Caenorhabditis elegans: one gene and its partner. The protein of the gene in region 2 purifies or fractionates together with the protein of the main gene of each other region. This does not show direct contact. Each region holds a gene or a part of one and is shown on either strand. Other genes may lie near its edges. The genes, in order: yop-1 and ymel-1.

Region 1 (6,934 bases), on a different chromosome or scaffold from region 2:
CTCGGCATGACTGTCATTCGCGGAAACTCCGTCGTCATCATGGAGCCCAAGGAGAGAATCTCCTAGATTTTTCGATCTCCACAATTTCCTGTCACTTTCTCAATGTTTTCATTTTCAAATTTTGATATTAAATTTTTGAACCTTTTTTTTGATAATTTTTGATAACTACGTGGTCAAAACCCACTTCTCATCTCTGATTCACGTGAATTTCGTATAGATAAGAACTTCGCAAATAGAATCAATTCACAAACAAATGTACCAAAAGTTATGTTTTATTATTGCAGGCATAAAAAAAATCAATCGTAAAGCTTTTTTTCAGCATTTTGTTTTTCCACGGCTCAAATTGAACGAAATAGTGTTCATTTTGAAGAGAGGCACGAAACAGAGTAACAAAAACACGGAGAGACTTGTGTATCCCTCTTCTCTTTCCACTATGTGCGGTCGACGACGCTCTCCACATTTTTCTCTCTTTATTCTTCTCGTTACTCTTACTCGGCACAACAGCAGCAAAAAAGAATACTCTTTCCCCACTTCTTATCTCTTTTTCTGCCGACCTATTTTCTTCTTTCAAAACAGAAAAATGTTCCACACACACGCCTATCATCATCCGAAAGCTGTACGAGATGTGCTTTCTCATCTTTCCGTACTCTTGTGGCTGCAGCCGTCGAAGAGTTGAAATATCAATTTTCAAAACGCGGCAGATTCTCAGCCGGAATTCAGTGAATTCGCTTGATTTCTCGCCAAAATATAGAAATCAGACGATTTATCTGAAAATAACACCCATTTCAGTTGAAACATGCGAGAAAATGCTGAAAAATAGCCTGAATTTGCTAATTTCAGGCCATTTTTGAGCTCTTCCTCAAGTGTTTCGACTGAAATAAATGTTTGTTTTAGATAAATCAAGTGATTTTCTATAATTTCACATCAATTTTAAATGAATCAACATGTCACAATAGGTCATTTTGAAAAATTGGCGCCAATCCCCAAACCTGATCTGGATTTGAACAAGAGTTTTCTACTTCGATTTCACATTTTGCTGAGAAAAACCGAAAATTATCGATGTTCTCTTTTGAAAATTGAACGCTTTTCAGTGATAATTAGGAAAAATCACCTTTTTTCAAGTCGAATAATTTCAAAAGCTTCAGAAAATCCAATGTTTTGACTCGAATTCAGGAAAAACCGGAAGAAAATCGCGAAATAATATAAAATCCGAATAAAAAAAACGCGATTTTTTTCAATTTTGGCTGAATTCTCCACACTCCAACTGATTGATCGTTCATTTTTTAAAGGAATTTAGCCAAAATTGCAAAATCCCGATTTTAAAAATAAAAAATTAATTCTGTTATGATTCCGCGTTTTTTATTTTGTAATAATTCCCATTTACGCCGTCTTTTAAAAATGCAGACCCACAATTTTTCTGGTGAACATTTCAAATCAATTCAAATTATTTTGATCTGATCTCCGGCGCGAATCACTTGTACTTTGTTCTCTCTCCTCCCGTCTCCTCCGTGGCACTATGTCATTCTGAAGTTGTTTCAATGACAAATCACTCACGCACACACACACACACAATGGATTGTGCCCTTTGTGTTGCCGTTTGACTATCATCGATTGATTCCATTCCCGTTCCGTTTTCGCCGTGCTCTCTCTCTCTGGGTTTTTCGTCTTCTCCCGGGAACACTTGGCCAGTTATCACTCGCTCTTTCTGTCCTCCTCTCAACAGCTATTGGCTACTACTACTACTGCTGCTGCTGCTGATCCGGCTCCGGTTGGCTATAGGCACATTTTGATGCGATTTGTGTGTGTGTGTTCTTTGGAGATTCAATTTGAAGAACTCTTCGCCTTTTTTGTATAAGTTTTCTTTTCGGGGGTGAAAAAATTCGCATCTTTATTCTCTTTAAGGTGGTGTAGTCTAATTTTTTTAAAAATAGCTTTATTAGACTCAAAATTGTCTGAAAACACCGAATTTCATAGTGTAACTTCTCAAAAAAAGTTTATGACGGCTCCAAAATGGCCTAAAATTAGTTAAAATTTGAAATTCGACCAACTTGTCAAGCGGCTGGAAACAAAATCACCGTCAAATTTTGAGTATACAATGTAATTATCTTGCGTTTTTAACTTCATTTAGGTATTTTAAAGTCCATGGACGGCGAGATTTCACAATTTTTTTAACCAAATCTCGCCGTCCATCGACTTTAAAGTACCTAAATCGAGTTGAAAACGCAAGATAATTGGATTGTATACTCAAAATTTTACGGTAATTTCAAAAAAAAGTTTCCAGCCGCTTGACAAGTCGGCCAAATTTAAAATTTTAACAAATTTTTAGACCATTTTTTCAGCCGTCAAAACTTTTTTTTTGAGAAGTTTTCAAGAAGTTTCATTATGAAATTCGGTGTTTTCAGACAATTTTGAGTCTAATAAAGCAATTAAAAAATTCGACTACACCACCACCTCAAAAATTTATAAATTAAATATATTGAGAATATTTTACCTGGGGTTTGGTCCCTAAGCTAGGCTTCTGAGCAAGATAAAAATTGAAAAAGGTGATAAATTCATCACTTTTTTCTCAATTTTTTGGCTCAGAGGACTAGCTTGGGGCCCAAACTGTTCACTTTCTCTCAGAATTCCGAATTTTTGACCCCGGAAACAGAATAAAAATGCACAGCCCTGACTGGTTCACATCATAACTCTTTTTATTTTATCGCTTTTTTGTCTCTTCTTCTTCTCCGCCGCCAAGTCATTCCTCTCAACATCCAATTTTCCAGCGCCCAATGCCTGTCCCACCACAAGTGCAAAAGGTCTTGGACGATGTCGACAAGCAGCTCCACGAGCCGAGCACCGTCACCAACGTGCTGGCGACCGTTGAGCAGAAGACCGGAGTCAAGCGGCTTCATTTGGTGCTCGGCGTCGTCGGTCTTCAGGCTCTCTACCTCATTTTCGGACATTCCGCCCAGCTTGTGTGCAACTTTATGGGATTCGTCTACCCGGCTTACATGAGGTTCGCGAATTTTGCAACAAAGAAAACTGCCGCACAGAAAAAGAGGCGGGGCGTAATTTTGCAACCCTGCGGCACGGATTTTCGCTCTTTTTTGTTGATTTTTTTAAATTCTCATAAGATTGTGAGGACGCTATCAAAATTTATTTATCGATCCTTGCATTTTGCAAAAAGTTTTGTCGCACAGAAAGTGGGGCGGAGCGTGCTTTCGCAACACCGCCGCACGGGGTTTGTCTCCGCCCATTTTCCACAGCTTTTCTTGTTGATTTTCTCAAAAAAGTTTTGATTTTACTTGTCTTTTTCTTTTCTTTTTCGAATTGGATCACATTTTCATTCGAAAAAAAGGGGCAAAAACAAGAAAAATCGAAACTTTTATTGAAAAAAAATATACAAGAAGAGCAGTGGAAACATGGCGGAGACAAACCCCGTGCGGCAATGTTGCGGAAGCTCGCTCCGCCCCAATTTCTGTGCGACAAAAATTTTTGCAAAATGCAAGGATCGATAAATAAATTTTGATAGTATCCTCACAATCTTATGGGAATCAAAAAAAATAACAAAACAAAAGGAGCGAAAAACCGTGCCGCAGTGTTGCAAAATTACGCCCCGCCTCTCTTTCTGTGCGACTTTAATCAAAATTTATCGTTTAAAAAAATTTGAAACCCATTTTTTAAATGATTTTTTTTTCAGTATCAAGGCCATCGAATCAAGCAACAAGGAAGACGACACTCAATGGTTGACCTACTGGGTCATATTCGCCATACTCTCAGTCGTCGAGTTCTTCTCCGTTCAAATCGTCGCCGTTTTCCCAGTCTATTGGCTCTTCAAGTCGATCTTCCTGCTCTACCTCTACCTTCCAAGCTTCCTCGGAGCCGCCAAGCTCTACCATAGATTTGTGAAGCCAGTCGCCGCCAGACACTCGGGATCCATTGACGCCAAGATTGGAAATTTCGCCGATAGAGTGAACAGTGCCGCCGGAAAGCTCGCCAACGAAGTCCGAGATCACATGGAATGATTTCTTCTTGAGCTAAATTTTATTATTACTACCACCAATACTATCAACTTCCCCCAGATTGCCCACCAAAATTCCCTTTTTTGCCTTTTTTTTTATTTCTTTGTTCGGTTAGGCTTCTCCCCCCTCCCCTCCTTACTCCGATCTTTGTTCGTTCTCATTTTGTCCAACGATCCATTCTTTTTAGACATAATGAATACTCCACAATGGTAAATTTATTCTCTTTTTTGTGTGTGTTCGTAGAAGAGAAATCGATTTGCCACGCAATACTTGATAATGATATGTATACGGTGGGAAAATTATGTAGAAAAATCTACAGAAATGGACGAATATCGAGAGCTGATTAGTGTGCTTCCACTGGAAACTGTAGAATATGCATTTGCATATGGATCAGGTTGGTTTTTAAAGGTGCACACTGAAAATTTGGAGGGTCCCGGCGCGATCCACGAGTTTTTTCAGACACAGCTTAAAAAATCCTGAAAAAAACGGTGTTTTTATTGTAAAATTCAAGTTTTTCATTTGAAAAACAAAAATTTGACTATTATATAAAAACAGAAAAAAAAATCAAAGTGCAAGCGCGCTCCACGGACAAAAAATGCTCCGCCCCGAAATGTTGGGTCTCGTTAGGTATTTTGAAAAATTAAATGAATTTCAACAAATTTCGCCATAAAAATCGACAAAACAACGAAAAAATGACAAAAAATGTTTAAAAATTGAAGATTTTCCCGCCAATACCTAACGAGACCCAACGATTTGGGGCGGAGCGCTTTAATTTTGCCGAGGAGCGCGTTTGCACATATTATTATTATTTTTCCGCGTAATAACGATATTTTTTAGGTTTTAAAAAAAGGAAAATGTTTAGAATTGTAAAAAAATCAATAATTTTTAGATTTTCCGTTAGAAAATTTTTTTTTTCACATTTTCGAAAAAATGTCAACAATTTTTCGATTTTCCGAACAGTTTCAAATTTTTTTTCATAATTAAAAAACGAACATTTTGCTATTATATAGACGCAGAAAAATGATCGAGGTGCAAGCGCGCTCCACGGACAAGAAAAACGCTCCGCCCCGAAATATTGGGTCTCGTTAGGTATTTTGGCAATTTAAATGCATTTCAACAAATTTCGGCATAAAAATCATTAAAACAACGGAAAAATGACAGAAATGTTTGAAAATTGAAGATTTTCCCGTCAATTCCTAACGAGATCCAACGTTTTGGGGCGGAGCGTTCGCATGTCGCAGTGGAGCGCGTTTTCACATAGATTTCAAAAGGGGAATTTCCCCCATAATAACGACTTTTTTTTAAAATATAATTTTTTAAGTAAAAAAACCAAAAATTTTTAAATTTCCCGGAAAAAATCGATATTTTTTCACATTTTCGAAACAAAATTCAACCACTTTTCGATTTTTTCGGGAAAATTCCCAAAAAAACAATTTTTTTCCTAAAAAATTAACTCTAAAAATTTACTTTTCCAGGTGCAATCCAGCAACAAAATGAGGATAAATCGGAAAAAATGGTGGATTTTGTGATTGTCACTAAAAATGCTCAAGAATTCCACCGCGACAACATTCTCAAAAATCCCCAACACTACAGCCTACTCCGGCTTATGGGCCCGAAAATGATCGAGAAAATTCAGTGTAATTTTGCGGCTCGTGTCTATTACAATACTCATGTAAAAGTCGGGAAGCGGAAGATCAAGTACGGAGTGATTTCGTACGAGAATGTGAAGCAGGATCTTCTGGATTGGAGGTGGATTTATATTTCTGGGCGGCTACACAAGCCGGTACTGGAGGTGATCAAGCCGCGGCAGGATATGTGTGATCTGGTGACTGAGAATCGTAGATCAGCGCTTCATTCATCGCTTCTTCTACTTCCAGAATCTTTTACACTTAAGCAATTATTTCATAAAATCGTCGGGCTCTCTTATACTGGAGATTTTCGAATGGTCGTTGGAGAGGATAAGAATAAAATCAATAAAATCGTCGAGGGAAATTACGAGGAGCTTCTCAGAGTCTACGAGCCACTTATGAACGATGATGCTCGACTGTCGGTGATGTCGCCGGCGAAACTGATTCAGGATGGATCGACGACGGCGATCTATCATCGATTGAATCTTTTGCCATCGGAAGTGTTGAATCGGATTCAGAAGAATATGAATAGAGTGCAGAAAAGGCAGCGGGATGCTGAAGAGGTCTAGAAAATTATAATTGGCGCGCAAAATAGGGTCTCGTAGCGAAAACTACAGTATACAATCAATATTAACGAAAATCACTGAAAAATCCGCAAAAACTGGAAATTACAGTACTCTTTAAAGGCACACTCCTTTTCGCATCTAACAAAAAACATGTCGTGTCGAGACCGGGCACCGTATTTTTGAAGCAAATCCGATTTTTAAGAAACTTTAAAATTACGATATTTAGATTGTGGAAAAATTTTTACCCAGATGCGAAATTTGGCGATTTTTGGACAAAAATACGGTAACTGGTCTCGACACGACAATTTTCTAGCAAATGAAAAATAATAGCGTGCGCCTTTAAAAGGGTACTGTAATTTTGGAATTTTTGCGGAATTTTCAGTTTTTTACTAGTGTTTCAATATTATTGAACATCAAAGAAAAATCAATGAAAATTCGCAAAAATTGGAAATTACAGTACCCTTTAAAGGCGCACACCCGTTTGCATTAAGCGACAAATGTGTCGTGTCGAGACCGGGTATAATACTTTTGAGGTAAAAATCACAAAATTTTCGCAACTAGGTGATATACTTTTCTCCAAAAAACTACATATTTGACGCGCAAAATATCTCGTAGCGAAGACTACAGTAATCTTTTAAATGACTACTGTAGCGCTTGTGTCGATTTACGGGCTAGACTTACGGGAACGAATTTATTTTCGAATTGTGAGAGTGATATTCCATTCCAAATTTTTCGT
Region 2 (10,926 bases):
GAGACCCAATATAGCAGAAGAAATGGCCTGCGCCTTTAAAATGGACGTGGTCGGTTTTCACGACTTTGTAATATTTATTCAATTAAAAAAAACATTTTTTAATTTTTTTCAACTTTCAGACTCTTAACTGTGAATTATCGATTCCAATCACTGAAAATCAGATTTTTTCCATTGATTTTATCGATTCTTCCCGTTTCGAACGCCACGTAATCACCAGATTCGAAGTCAAAAATCGATTGGAAACTGATATTTTGTAATTAATTAATTAATTTTCTATTTAAAAAATTGATATTTTCAGATCAATCCAGGCGTCAATTGGCATTCCGAATACATTGATTCGATGGACTTTGTTTGAAAATTCACATTCTCCAAATATCCTGCAAAGTATCAGGTAATTGGGGAATTTTTGGGAACAATAAAATTCGAAAATTTATTTTAAAAGTTGTAAAAATACTGGGAAGATTCCCGAAAAATTTTCTAAAATTTTCAGAAAAAACGAAAAAAAAAAAAAATTATACATTCCTTAAAAATCTGACCTACTTTAAAGGCGCACACGCTTTTCCCAGTTTGGGGGGTCCCACCACGATTTGTTGTAGCGCCACGGTTCCCAAAACACACGTGGATCGTGGCGGGACCCAATGACCCAATGTTTGCGCATTCAAATCAGTTTAATTCCTCATATTTTCAGACCGAATTCGACAGTAGTTGTGTGCTTGGCAATTCCATTTTCGGCGTTTTTGGCCAGTGACACCGTAAATCTCATTTTCACAGGAAACCTCGTTCCAAGCAAAAGGCTACTGTAAGTTTTGAAATATTTTTGAAAAAAAAAAACGGGAAAATAAATACAAAATTCGATTTTCAATTTGTTTTAGAGGAAACAAGAATTTTCAAAAGAAATTGGAAATTTTTTTTAAGTTGTTCTCATTTTTCAATTTACTCTGAAAAAACCGAAAATTGATTGTTTTTCGACGACATCCTGGGCAGGGGTACTGTAGGATACTGTAGGATTAAGATTTCCTGAAGGTTACTGTAGTGGTACTAACGGCGGTCACTGTAAGACTATGGTAGCTCATTTAATTGGCTGCACTATAGGAGGATACTGTAGGGTTACTGTAGACTTTCCAAAGATTACTGTAACCATAAACATTCCATTTCCTTACAGACTTCATCCGACCGCGTATCCAGTAATTGGCGCCAATTTACGTGTTGAACCATACCCAGAAGCCGATTTTTCTGTGAGAATCGATTTTTCCGAAGCGATCGAAGAATTGGACGTGAAATCAATCGAATTCGTTGATGAGTCGAGTATGTTAAGCTCCGCCTATTAATGGCTTCAAAGAAATGCTCGAATTCAGACTATTGAAATTCCTTTGACATTTAAAAACAATTTTTAATTGTAGAAATATTAGCTTTAGGTTCCGCCCAGAAAGTGGTCGTCGACTTCGCCCCCTTCTAACCCACATTTTCTCTATTCCAGAATCCACTCGAATTATCCAATCACTGCTCACTGTGCTCCACCGTTTTCCTGTGCCAATTGTTCCGGATTTTGCCACATTTCGCCGAGAATTCCCTCATTTTTCGGCTAACGATTTCGACACGTGGCGTCTTTTTGTCGGCGCCGACAATTTTGATGGGCTCTTTTTGTTCACGGAGAGCAGTGATGACGTCACTCGGTGCCACGTCATCTCGGAGAACAGCTCAATTTGTGAAATGTTTTTGAGACTTCTGAATGAGAAGTGCCAATAAATTAATTTTCTTTTTTTCAAATTGTTTTCTAGAATCCAAAAACACATTTATATTCAACAGATCCGTACATCTAGAAAGCTACAACCACAGAGGAGAAAGAGAGGATGAAACCGGAAATTTTGTGGTCTCACAGCGATCGAGACACAAAATTCTCAGGGGACTATGAGAAGAGAGTTGAGAACCTACAAGGAAAATTGGTACAAAATCGAGAAAACCGGAGAAAAAACGGGAAAAAATTGGGGAAAGAGAAGAATGCTAAATAGGTGAATGAATACCTGTAGACGAGAAGATGGAAGAAAAATAGGAAAAAAATCACTCAATTTACACGAAAACTTCGATTTTCTAAGATTTTCGAGCGAACTTAAACTGAAATAAAATCAGAAAAAGGAGGAAAAAGTACAGAACTTAGAATATTTAAAGAAAAAAAAAGAAGAAATTATTGCTTTCCACGGCCTTCTTCCTCGAATAAATGAAGAACAAGCGACGGTTGATTTCGTTTTGTTTCATTACTTTTCTTCACTGCCGCCGGTGTTGGTCGCTTGATTTTCTGTCCACTGATAACACGTTTCACCTCGTCAGCTGAGAGAGTTTCGTATTCGAGAAGAGCTTCCGCGAGCAGTTGATGCTCTTTCTGCAAAAAATCGGAAATTTTGAGAATTTTTGAAGGAATCTTTTTAAATTAATTTTTTAACAAAAAAAGCTGACGTCGTATTTTTCAAGTTTTTAGCAACATTTTTGTTTTAGTTTTAAAAAATCTGGAAAATTAGAAAATTCCAAAAAAAAAACCTTCTTGGTTTCCAAAATGACTTTAGCCCTTTTATAGCTCTCCTGTAGTACACGATTAATCTCTGCATCAATTAGTTCGGCTGTTTGTGGTGCCAAATCCGACACTTTTACCAGTGCACTTTCATTGTCTTGGGCAGTGAAATCACGGAGTCCGACCTGGAATTTTAAATTTAAAATATAGAAAATTTTTAGCGGGAAATTAGAATTTAGTTTTTAAAAACTTCTGGTGGGATATTCAAATTTTTAAAGAAAATTGTTGGCGACAGCTTCAAAAATAAAAAAAAAATTGCGGGAAATTTTAATTGTTTTTTTTTTCGGAGAGATATTCAAATTCACTGAAACAATTTTTAGCGAAAAAAAATTGCGAGAAATTTGAATATTTTGAAAAAATTATGGCAGGAAATTCAAATTTTCCGAAAAAAAATTTTGCGCCAAGCTCATATTTCCTAAGAAAAAAGTATTCCCAAGCCCCCTTCTCACCTTATCACTCATTCCAAAAACCTTAACCATCTGCACCGCCAACTGAGTGGCCTTACTCAAATCATCCGCAGCACCAGTGGTGACCTTATCATCTCCAAAGATGAGCTCTTCAGCCACCCGACCGCCCATCATCACATCCAACGTAGCAAGCATTTGTGCTTTAGTCAACTGATAACTATCCTTTTCAGGAAGCATTGCAGTGTGTCCGAGAGATTGTCCACGTGGAATAATAGTTACTTTATGCAGAGGTGTAGCATCTTTTGTGTACAAAGACACCAGAGTATGACCTGCTTCATGATAAGCTGTATTTCTATTTGCTTCTTCATCAGGAATCCTTCCTCCAGTACGTGCCGGTCCCATCAGTACTCGATCCCTTGCTTCATCTAAATAGGCCATCGTAACCTCCACAGCATTATCAGTCGCCGCTTTCAATGCCGCCTGATTCACCATATTCTCAATGTCGGCTCCAGTGAATCCTGTCGATCCCTTCGCCAGAACTTTAGGATCAATTCCACCGGAATGCACGATTTTTGAGAGATAAAAGTTGAAAATGTCCACACGCCCAGCGAGATCAGGTTTTGGAACTGTGACACGAACATCGAAGCGTCCGGGTCGGAGAAGGGCCTTGTCGAGGTCGTCGACACGATTTGTTGCGGCAATTACAATGATTCCCTCGTTACGGGTGAAGCCATCCATTTCACTGAAAACATCAGGAGATGAGTTTTTAATGCACAAAATTGAGCAAATTGTTACCTGAGAAGTTGATTAATCGTTTGATTTGCATATGGATGGATGGAATTCGAAACACGTTTTGAGCCAACTGAATCGATTTCGTCGATGAAAATGATGCATGGAGCACTGAAAAATATAAATCTTGGATTTTTTTCGGGGCTTTTACTTAATTTTACGAAATTTTTTTTTGTCAAAGTTTTAGCGAATATCATACAAATCGATAATTCCGAGAGGGCAACAAAATTGAATTTTAATTTTAAAATAAACATTAAATTTTGGCCAATTTAAGAAAACTAATGGTTAAAAAAAACAAAAATTTTGTAAAATGTCTCCAAAATAGCCTGCTCACCGAGCCTTAGCCTTATCGAAAAGATCCCTAACACGACGGGCTCCCTGTCCAACAAGTACTTCATCAAATTCTGATCCAGCAGTATGGAAGAATGGAACCTGTGCTTCACCGGCTATTGCTCTCGCGAGCAACGTTTTTCCGGTTCCGGGGGGTCCGACGAGTAGGACACCTTTCGGTAATCGACCACCAAGTCTTGAGTATTTTTCTGGATCTTTCAGGTAATCCACGATCTCCTCCACTTCCAATTTCGCTTCGTCCATCTGGAAATTGAAAAAATATTGAAAAAAATTCTTAGAACACTTTAAGTTTGATACAATTATCTTAAAGTTTTTTTTTTCAAAAGTCAAAAAATCAAAAAAAAAAAAGTTTAAATTTTTTTTTTAATTTTAAAGGTTTTTTTTCCAAAAAATTCGGCAAAATAAACATTTTTGCAATTTTTCGAATTTCAGAAAAAAATTTAAGGGTTTTTTCAATGATTTCGTGTCGTTTTTTAAATGAAACAAATCGCAAATTTCGGTAAATTTTTCCAAAAAACTCACTCCTCTAACATCATCGAAAGTAACTTGAACATCCTCTGGATTGACTTCTTGTGGATTCGAGAAGAACAATGAACCAATTTGTCGATCGCCTACACGCACACGAATTCCTTTATTTAGGAGATCAATTCATAAACTTTTTAATTTTTTTTTGAAAAAAAAAAAATTTTCTTCTAAAATGTTCAAGATATGCAGTTTTTGAAAAGTTTTACAAAATTTCCAAAACAATTTTTAAAAACCGATTTTTAGACTTGAAATAAAACATTTTTAAAAATTAAATATTATAGAATATTTAGTTAATTTTAGAAATAAATACGAATTTTCAAAACCTGGAAATTGTATTTTTAATTTTTAATTCCTAAATTTAAAAAAAAAACTTTTTTCCAAAACTTTTCAAATATGCAGTTTTGAAAAATTTCGGACGTTTTCAGCAATTTTTTCGAAATTCTAAACAAAATTCAACAATTTTGAAGCGAAATGTGTTTTTTTTTTAATTTTAAATTTTTAAAATTCAGGAGAAAAAATGTCTAAAAATTTAATGTTTCAAGGAAAAAAAAATTTTTTTTTCAATTTTTCACTATAAATTCTCGAAATAAAACGCACTTCCAGTCAAATATCCGAAAAAGATGCAAAAAACAAGAAAAATGTAGAACCGCGTGAGCGTATTCGATTTTTTCCCATCTTTTCCAGCTCCCGAAACACCATTTGACAATAATCCCTTAACAAATCCATCAGTATATGTTCTCTGTTGATTTTCTGGTAATTTCTTGAGATCCGACTCATATTGATTCCATTTTTCAACTCCTCCTTCTGACGTTTTTTGCTTTTTTCCAGCGAGAAGCTCTGAGAAATAGGTTAACGGAGATTTCACTTCATCTTGTGTCGGTTTTCCGGCATTTCCGACTCCGAATGTCTGTTTTCGAGTACGAAATCCGCGGCGTTGGATATCTGAGACAATTGGAATTTTTTGAAAAATGTAAAAAAAATTATCGTATTTTTTATTTTAAAAATACCAATAAAATACCAGTATCTAGAGGTTTTTTTTGTAAAATTTCCTATAAATTTTAATTAAAATTAGTGGAAAAAATTCAGAAAAAGGAAATTTTTAAAAACAATTTTTAACGAAAAAAAGTAGATTTTTTAAAAATAATTTTAGGAAATATTTAGAAAATGCTTGTAATAAATTTTCATAAAATAAAAAAAAATTGGAAAAAAACCTACTTCCAAACAATATTTTATATATTTTTGAAATTAAAATAAATAAAAAATTTTATTTCAAAAAAATTAACATAAATATTGATTTGAAGTTGGTTTTTTAAAATGAAAATTTTTGTTTTGTTTTTCAATTATTTTTATATTATTCTATGAAAATTTCCTAAAATAATGAAAAATCTAACTAATAAAAAATTGTTTTAAAATATTCAAGTTTTCGATAAAATTTTCCTTTTTTGTAAAAATTGTGAAAATTTTAAAAAAAACCTATTTTAGATCAAAAAATAAGTTTTTTTGCAATTTTTTTAAAGTTTCAAACTTTTTTCTGAATTTTTTCTTATTTTACAAAAAGGAGCAAAATTTCCACGCAGCTTAAACTTACAAAACGAAGAGCTCGCCGGAATTATCCGAACGACAGCATCATCATAATTCAGCGAAATTTCAGATTTTCTAGCGATCCGCCTTGAAAGCGTACTATCTCTGAGAATATTATTCATTTGATTGATTGTAACAGGTGAAGAAGTATCAGAACTGAATTGTCTCCAAACTTGATGATATACTCTTGAAAGTGATGCTGCTGTTGCTTCAATATCCAACGGTTTCCTATTGATTCCTGGAAATTTGGATTTTTTGAAAATTATTACAGGAACACAAAATTCTGAGAATGAGTATTGGGCAACGTAAAAAATCTCGAAGCGAAAACTACAGTAATTCTTCAAGTGAAAACTGTAGTGCTTGTGTCGATTTTTTTGCTTAATTTTAATATTCTATCGATAAAAAAAATGATTTTAAGAATCGAGCCCGTAAATCGACACAAACGCTACAGTAGTCATTTAAAGAATTACTGTAGTTTTCGCACGATATTATTTGCGCGTCGAATATGTTGTGTGATACGCATTCTCAGAATATTGTGCTCCCGTAATATGTAGTTTTTGAATATATTGTGCTAATTTTTTAAACTTTATTTTCTAATTACCATACTAAATGTCTTAATATTAAAAAAAAGCGTATATTGCTTTCTGCAAGCTTTTTAATTTATAAAGAACAATTTTAATTTCATTTTAAATTGATTGTTTTTCGCCCGGCTAAATAATAATTTCTGATTCAAACAAATTGTTGAAAACTGAATACCTAAATGTTGCCAGCTAAAACATCAAAATCTAAGCATTTTCAGACCAAGAAATAGTTTTTTTTTTCATTTTTAGCTCAAAATCCCGTTGAAATTTTTTTTTCAAAAAGTACAATGTCATGTAAAAATCGACATTTTTCTTAAAATAAAATAAGTACGACATAATTATTGAAACAGAATTGTTAACAATTTTTTTAAATTTAAACTACATTTTTGCCTAATTTTTTACCAAATTTTGAAAATCATAAATTTCAAAAAATGAAATATTTTCAGCCGGATTAAAAAGAATTCCAGATCACCTAAAAATCGATCTTCTCCTCTATTTTTAAAAACTTTAAAAACAAACCATTTCGACTATTTCTGAGCAGTCCCGTATTCTGGAGCAAACCGCCAATGTTCAAATTGATCGCCGACTGCATAAGCTTTTTCTTCTGGAATTTTCAGAGAATACAAAAATTTATATTTCTATATATCTATAGAAAAAGATTTTCCGAGATTTCAGAGAAAAATAGTTACTACTGATAGGCGCAGTGACTAACTTCAGTTAGCCAGGAGCGAGAGTCCAGTGGAGCGCGTTTGCAATTTCCATGATGCAAACCGCGACGCCGCCGCCTCGTGTCAGGCAAAAATATTTCGGTTTCAGGTGACCTTTTTTCTTCGTTTGTATGCAATTTTTGTTGGCTAAATAAAACCGGCATTTTTCTTTCAAATGATGAGAAATAATATGGTAGTAATAATAATAATAATGAAAAAAAATGCGCACAAAAATTTGGGAATTTTTAGTCGTTACAAATTGAGAATGAGATGGCTCAGCAGGAAGAGGAGAAGGAAAAGGTTCTAGTTGTGATAATATTTAAATATATATATATAAAATAAGTGAGGTACCGAAAAAAAAACATTGAACAACAAATCAACAGCGGATAATTGGGTGGGAAAATGAATTAGAGGCTTGTTTTATGGGAAATTACGGGGACCGGGTGATGATATTTGTGACGTGGCAGAAGAATTTTGGGGAAAATGTGCAATTTTTCGGGTTGGGAATTTGAATTTTTCTTAATTTTGAGACTCAAAAAAGTGAGAAAAATTAAGAAAAAAAGGTTTTTTTTTCTCAATTTTTGTTCCAAATTTCAGACATTTTTGGGTTGGAAAAAATCCAAAAATTCTCCCAAAAACTGCCAGTTTTCTTCCAAAAAAAATCTGCAAAAAACTATGAAATTTTCTAATTTTACAGTAATGTAGGCAAAGTGCTACACTCAAAAAAAAAACAAAAATTAATTTTAAAAAACGAGAGATCGTCGTAATGGAAAAAATGGGGAAAAAACGAAAAAGTGCGAAATGAGATGTGACAGAGATTCATGTTTAGGATGGGATGGGATTCTGGAGAAAATGAAGATGAAGAAGCTTTCGAAATGAGAAATAAATTTGAATTTTGACATGGAAAACGCGAGAAAAATCAAAATTCGGCATTTCAAGAATTTTTGAATTAAAAAAATTTTTTTTCAGGGGGAAAAACCTGCTAAAAATGTACAAGTTTCTAGATTTTTCATAGGAAATCTGAATTTTTTGGCGTTAAAAAACACTGGAAATTACCAAATTAAATCTCAATTTACGTCAAAAATGGAGATTTCAGTAATTTTATCCAGAATTTTGTATATTTTTAGAGGAAAAAATGCGCATTATTCAAGATTTTTTGAGAACTTTTTTGGCGTGTTTTCCCTTTAAAAACTGTAAATTAAATGCTAAAATCTTGATATTTTTTCGTCGAAAAATTTGCAATTTTAGGAATATTTCACAATTTTCAATTTCAAAATTTCCAAATTCAAAAGCTGCTTCAGAAAAAAAAAAGAAAAAATGGGGAAAAATGACACTATTTGCTGGTTAACTCGGTATTGATGGTGGATTTCTTTCGATGATTATTGAGAAAATCGCGTTGCTCAAATGGTTTCTCGACAGAAGCAAAACGACGCCTTGACACAACTGCAGCATCCAATTCAAATTGATTCATATCAAATGGTGGATATTGATTGCCGTCTTCGTCGTCTTCAACTTCTCCGGCATTTGGTACTGCGAATGATGAGCTGTGTGCTGGTGTGGCGGCCGCCGATTTTTGAGCTGGTTGACGATTTCTTATTCGTTTGTCCGTTTCTCTCTGAAAAATGTGAATTTATTTGTGATTTTTTAACTTTAAAACATCAAAATTTCCCATAATCTCAGAAGTTTAAAAATCTTTTTTGAGAAAACCCACGAAACTACACAATAAAGATGTCCTAAAATATAAAAATTGATCAGTTTTTCTTCATTTTTTTCTAATTATCGATTTTCAGACATTCCGCAAAATTTTTGGCGATTTTTTTTAGAGTTTTACCAAATTTCATGTAGGTTACCAATTTTTTTTCCTGAAATTTGAAAAAAGTAGTTAGAAATCGCGAAAAAATCGAAGCCAGGCCATTAATTTGCGTGGGAATTCATGATTTCTAGCTTTTGTGCAAAATTTTTTAAAAAACTAAATTTTTTACAGTTTTACTGGGTATATTTAGAGCCTTTTTAGAAAAATATTAAAACTTTTTGAATAAAATTTAGTGCTGAAAAATGTGCTAAACTATGCTTTTTATTCGGTTTTAGATCTGAAAAATTGTAGATTTTGGGTTAATTCTTGTAAAAAATCACTTTTTTTCAGTTTTGAACCATTTTTCCATGATTTTAAAACTGGAGATAGGTAAAAAATGTATTTAAAACTTCAGGATCCTCACTAAATTTTTTTTTCAATATTTTTCAAAAACGTTCACATATTTTTGTCTAAAAATTCAATTTTTGAATAGAAATTTCAATCCAAAAAACTCTCCGAACCTTAATCCTTTCCCGTTCGGCATGCATCAGCTTATGATGTTTCTTGGCTACAGTAATCAGAAGATCATCTGATGATTTTTCTTTCTCTTCAGCTTCTTCCTGCTTAACAATTCCGTCCGTTGGTTCTTTATCTTGCCAATAGTCGTCGGGAATGGTACGGTAGGTGGGTACGTGAATACTCTGAAAGGAAAGTCAGTTTTGAACTATAAACGGTCGGAAAAAAAAATGGAAAAATCATCCAATTTGCTAATTTTTTCACAGATTTCAAGAAAAATACTGTTTTTGACCGATTTTTGAAAAATAAAACTACAATTTTTATTCCAAAAATATCAAAATTTCAGCGCATTTTCGATTTTTTTGTTGAAAATATCAAAATTCATAGTCAGCGAATTTTCATCTGGAAATCTCCAAATTTCAGTGAATTTTCTGAATTTTTATTTTAAAAACCTGCAAATTTACCTGATAAGACACCAACGTAGGCAATTGTGACACACAAATATCCTCATTCATAAAATCTTCAAATAAATAATCGAGATAGATTCCATTATTGAGTTTTGCTGCCACAGACATTTTCGATGGTTTCCTTTTTGCAGTTGCTGGTCTGCCACGTGGCCGTTTTTTGGATAATTCCTTGAGTTCTTCTTCATCACTACTGACTTCTTCCATTGGTTTACGTTCCTTCTTTTTGTCCACTTTTTTCCTGCAAAAAATTGAATTTTTAAAAAAGTTTTTTTTTGGTTGAAAAAATAGGCTTTGGAAAATCGAAAATTTAGGTTTTATCCTTTTTTTCGCTTTTCAGAAAATACAAAAAATTCGTTTAAAATTTTGCCTATTTTCCAAAAAAAAACCTTTTTAGAACAACAAATTTTTAAACATTTTTTTTTCAATTTTTTGATAAACTAAAAATTTGAAAATTTTCATTACTTTGTGACGACGGAGCTATTGTGTTCCAGCGGTTTCCCATGGTCGTCCGTCTCGAAATAAATCGCCTTCCCGTGCTTTTTACGAATTGTACTTGATGGAGCCGTCGACAATCGATGCATATATGTCATTTGGCGATCTTCGAATGGAGTGACTGCAAAAAATTCGAATTTTTGAAGGAATTTTAA

The links.
Region 1: the proteins of ymel-1 (region 2) and yop-1 fractionate together in Caenorhabditis elegans (co-fractionation; one large-scale study listed by BioGRID). This does not show direct contact.

What each region holds. Positions count from the first base shown.
Region 1 is NC_003279.8:2,727,239-2,734,172, forward strand, and holds yop-1 (Receptor expression-enhancing protein), read left to right. Parts: upstream 1-2,765; 5' UTR 2,766-2,771; coding exon 2,772-2,998; intron 2,999-3,682; coding exon 3,683-4,007; 3' UTR 4,008-4,215; downstream 4,216-6,934. Other genes in the region: snr-7 (putative small nuclear ribonucleoprotein G), read left to right, coding at 1-66; Y71F9B.2 (Phosphatidate cytidylyltransferase, mitochondrial), read left to right, coding at 4,326-4,398, 5,480-6,195.
Region 2 is NC_003281.10:10,412,614-10,423,539, reverse strand, and holds ymel-1 (ATP-dependent zinc metalloprotease YME1 homolog), read right to left. Parts: upstream 7,402-10,926; 5' UTR 7,390-7,401; coding exon 7,317-7,389; intron 6,455-7,316; coding exon 6,224-6,454; intron 5,578-6,223; coding exon 5,233-5,577; intron 4,740-5,232; coding exon 4,633-4,739; intron 4,354-4,632; coding exon 4,094-4,353; intron 3,871-4,093; coding exon 3,766-3,870; intron 3,713-3,765; coding exon 3,013-3,712; intron 2,689-3,012; coding exon 2,533-2,688; intron 2,378-2,532; coding exon 2,183-2,377; 3' UTR 1,781-2,182; downstream 1-1,780. Other genes in the region: M03C11.6 (BBS2_C domain-containing protein), read left to right, coding at 120-253, 299-391, 689-799, 1,163-1,305, 1,478-1,746; M03C11.3 (PH domain-containing protein), read right to left, coding at 8,838-9,119, 9,818-9,997, 10,277-10,517, 10,742-10,892. UniProt on the Caenorhabditis elegans protein: ATP-dependent metalloprotease that catalyzes the degradation of folded and unfolded proteins with a suitable degron sequence in the mitochondrial intermembrane region. Plays an important role in regulating mitochondrial morphology and function.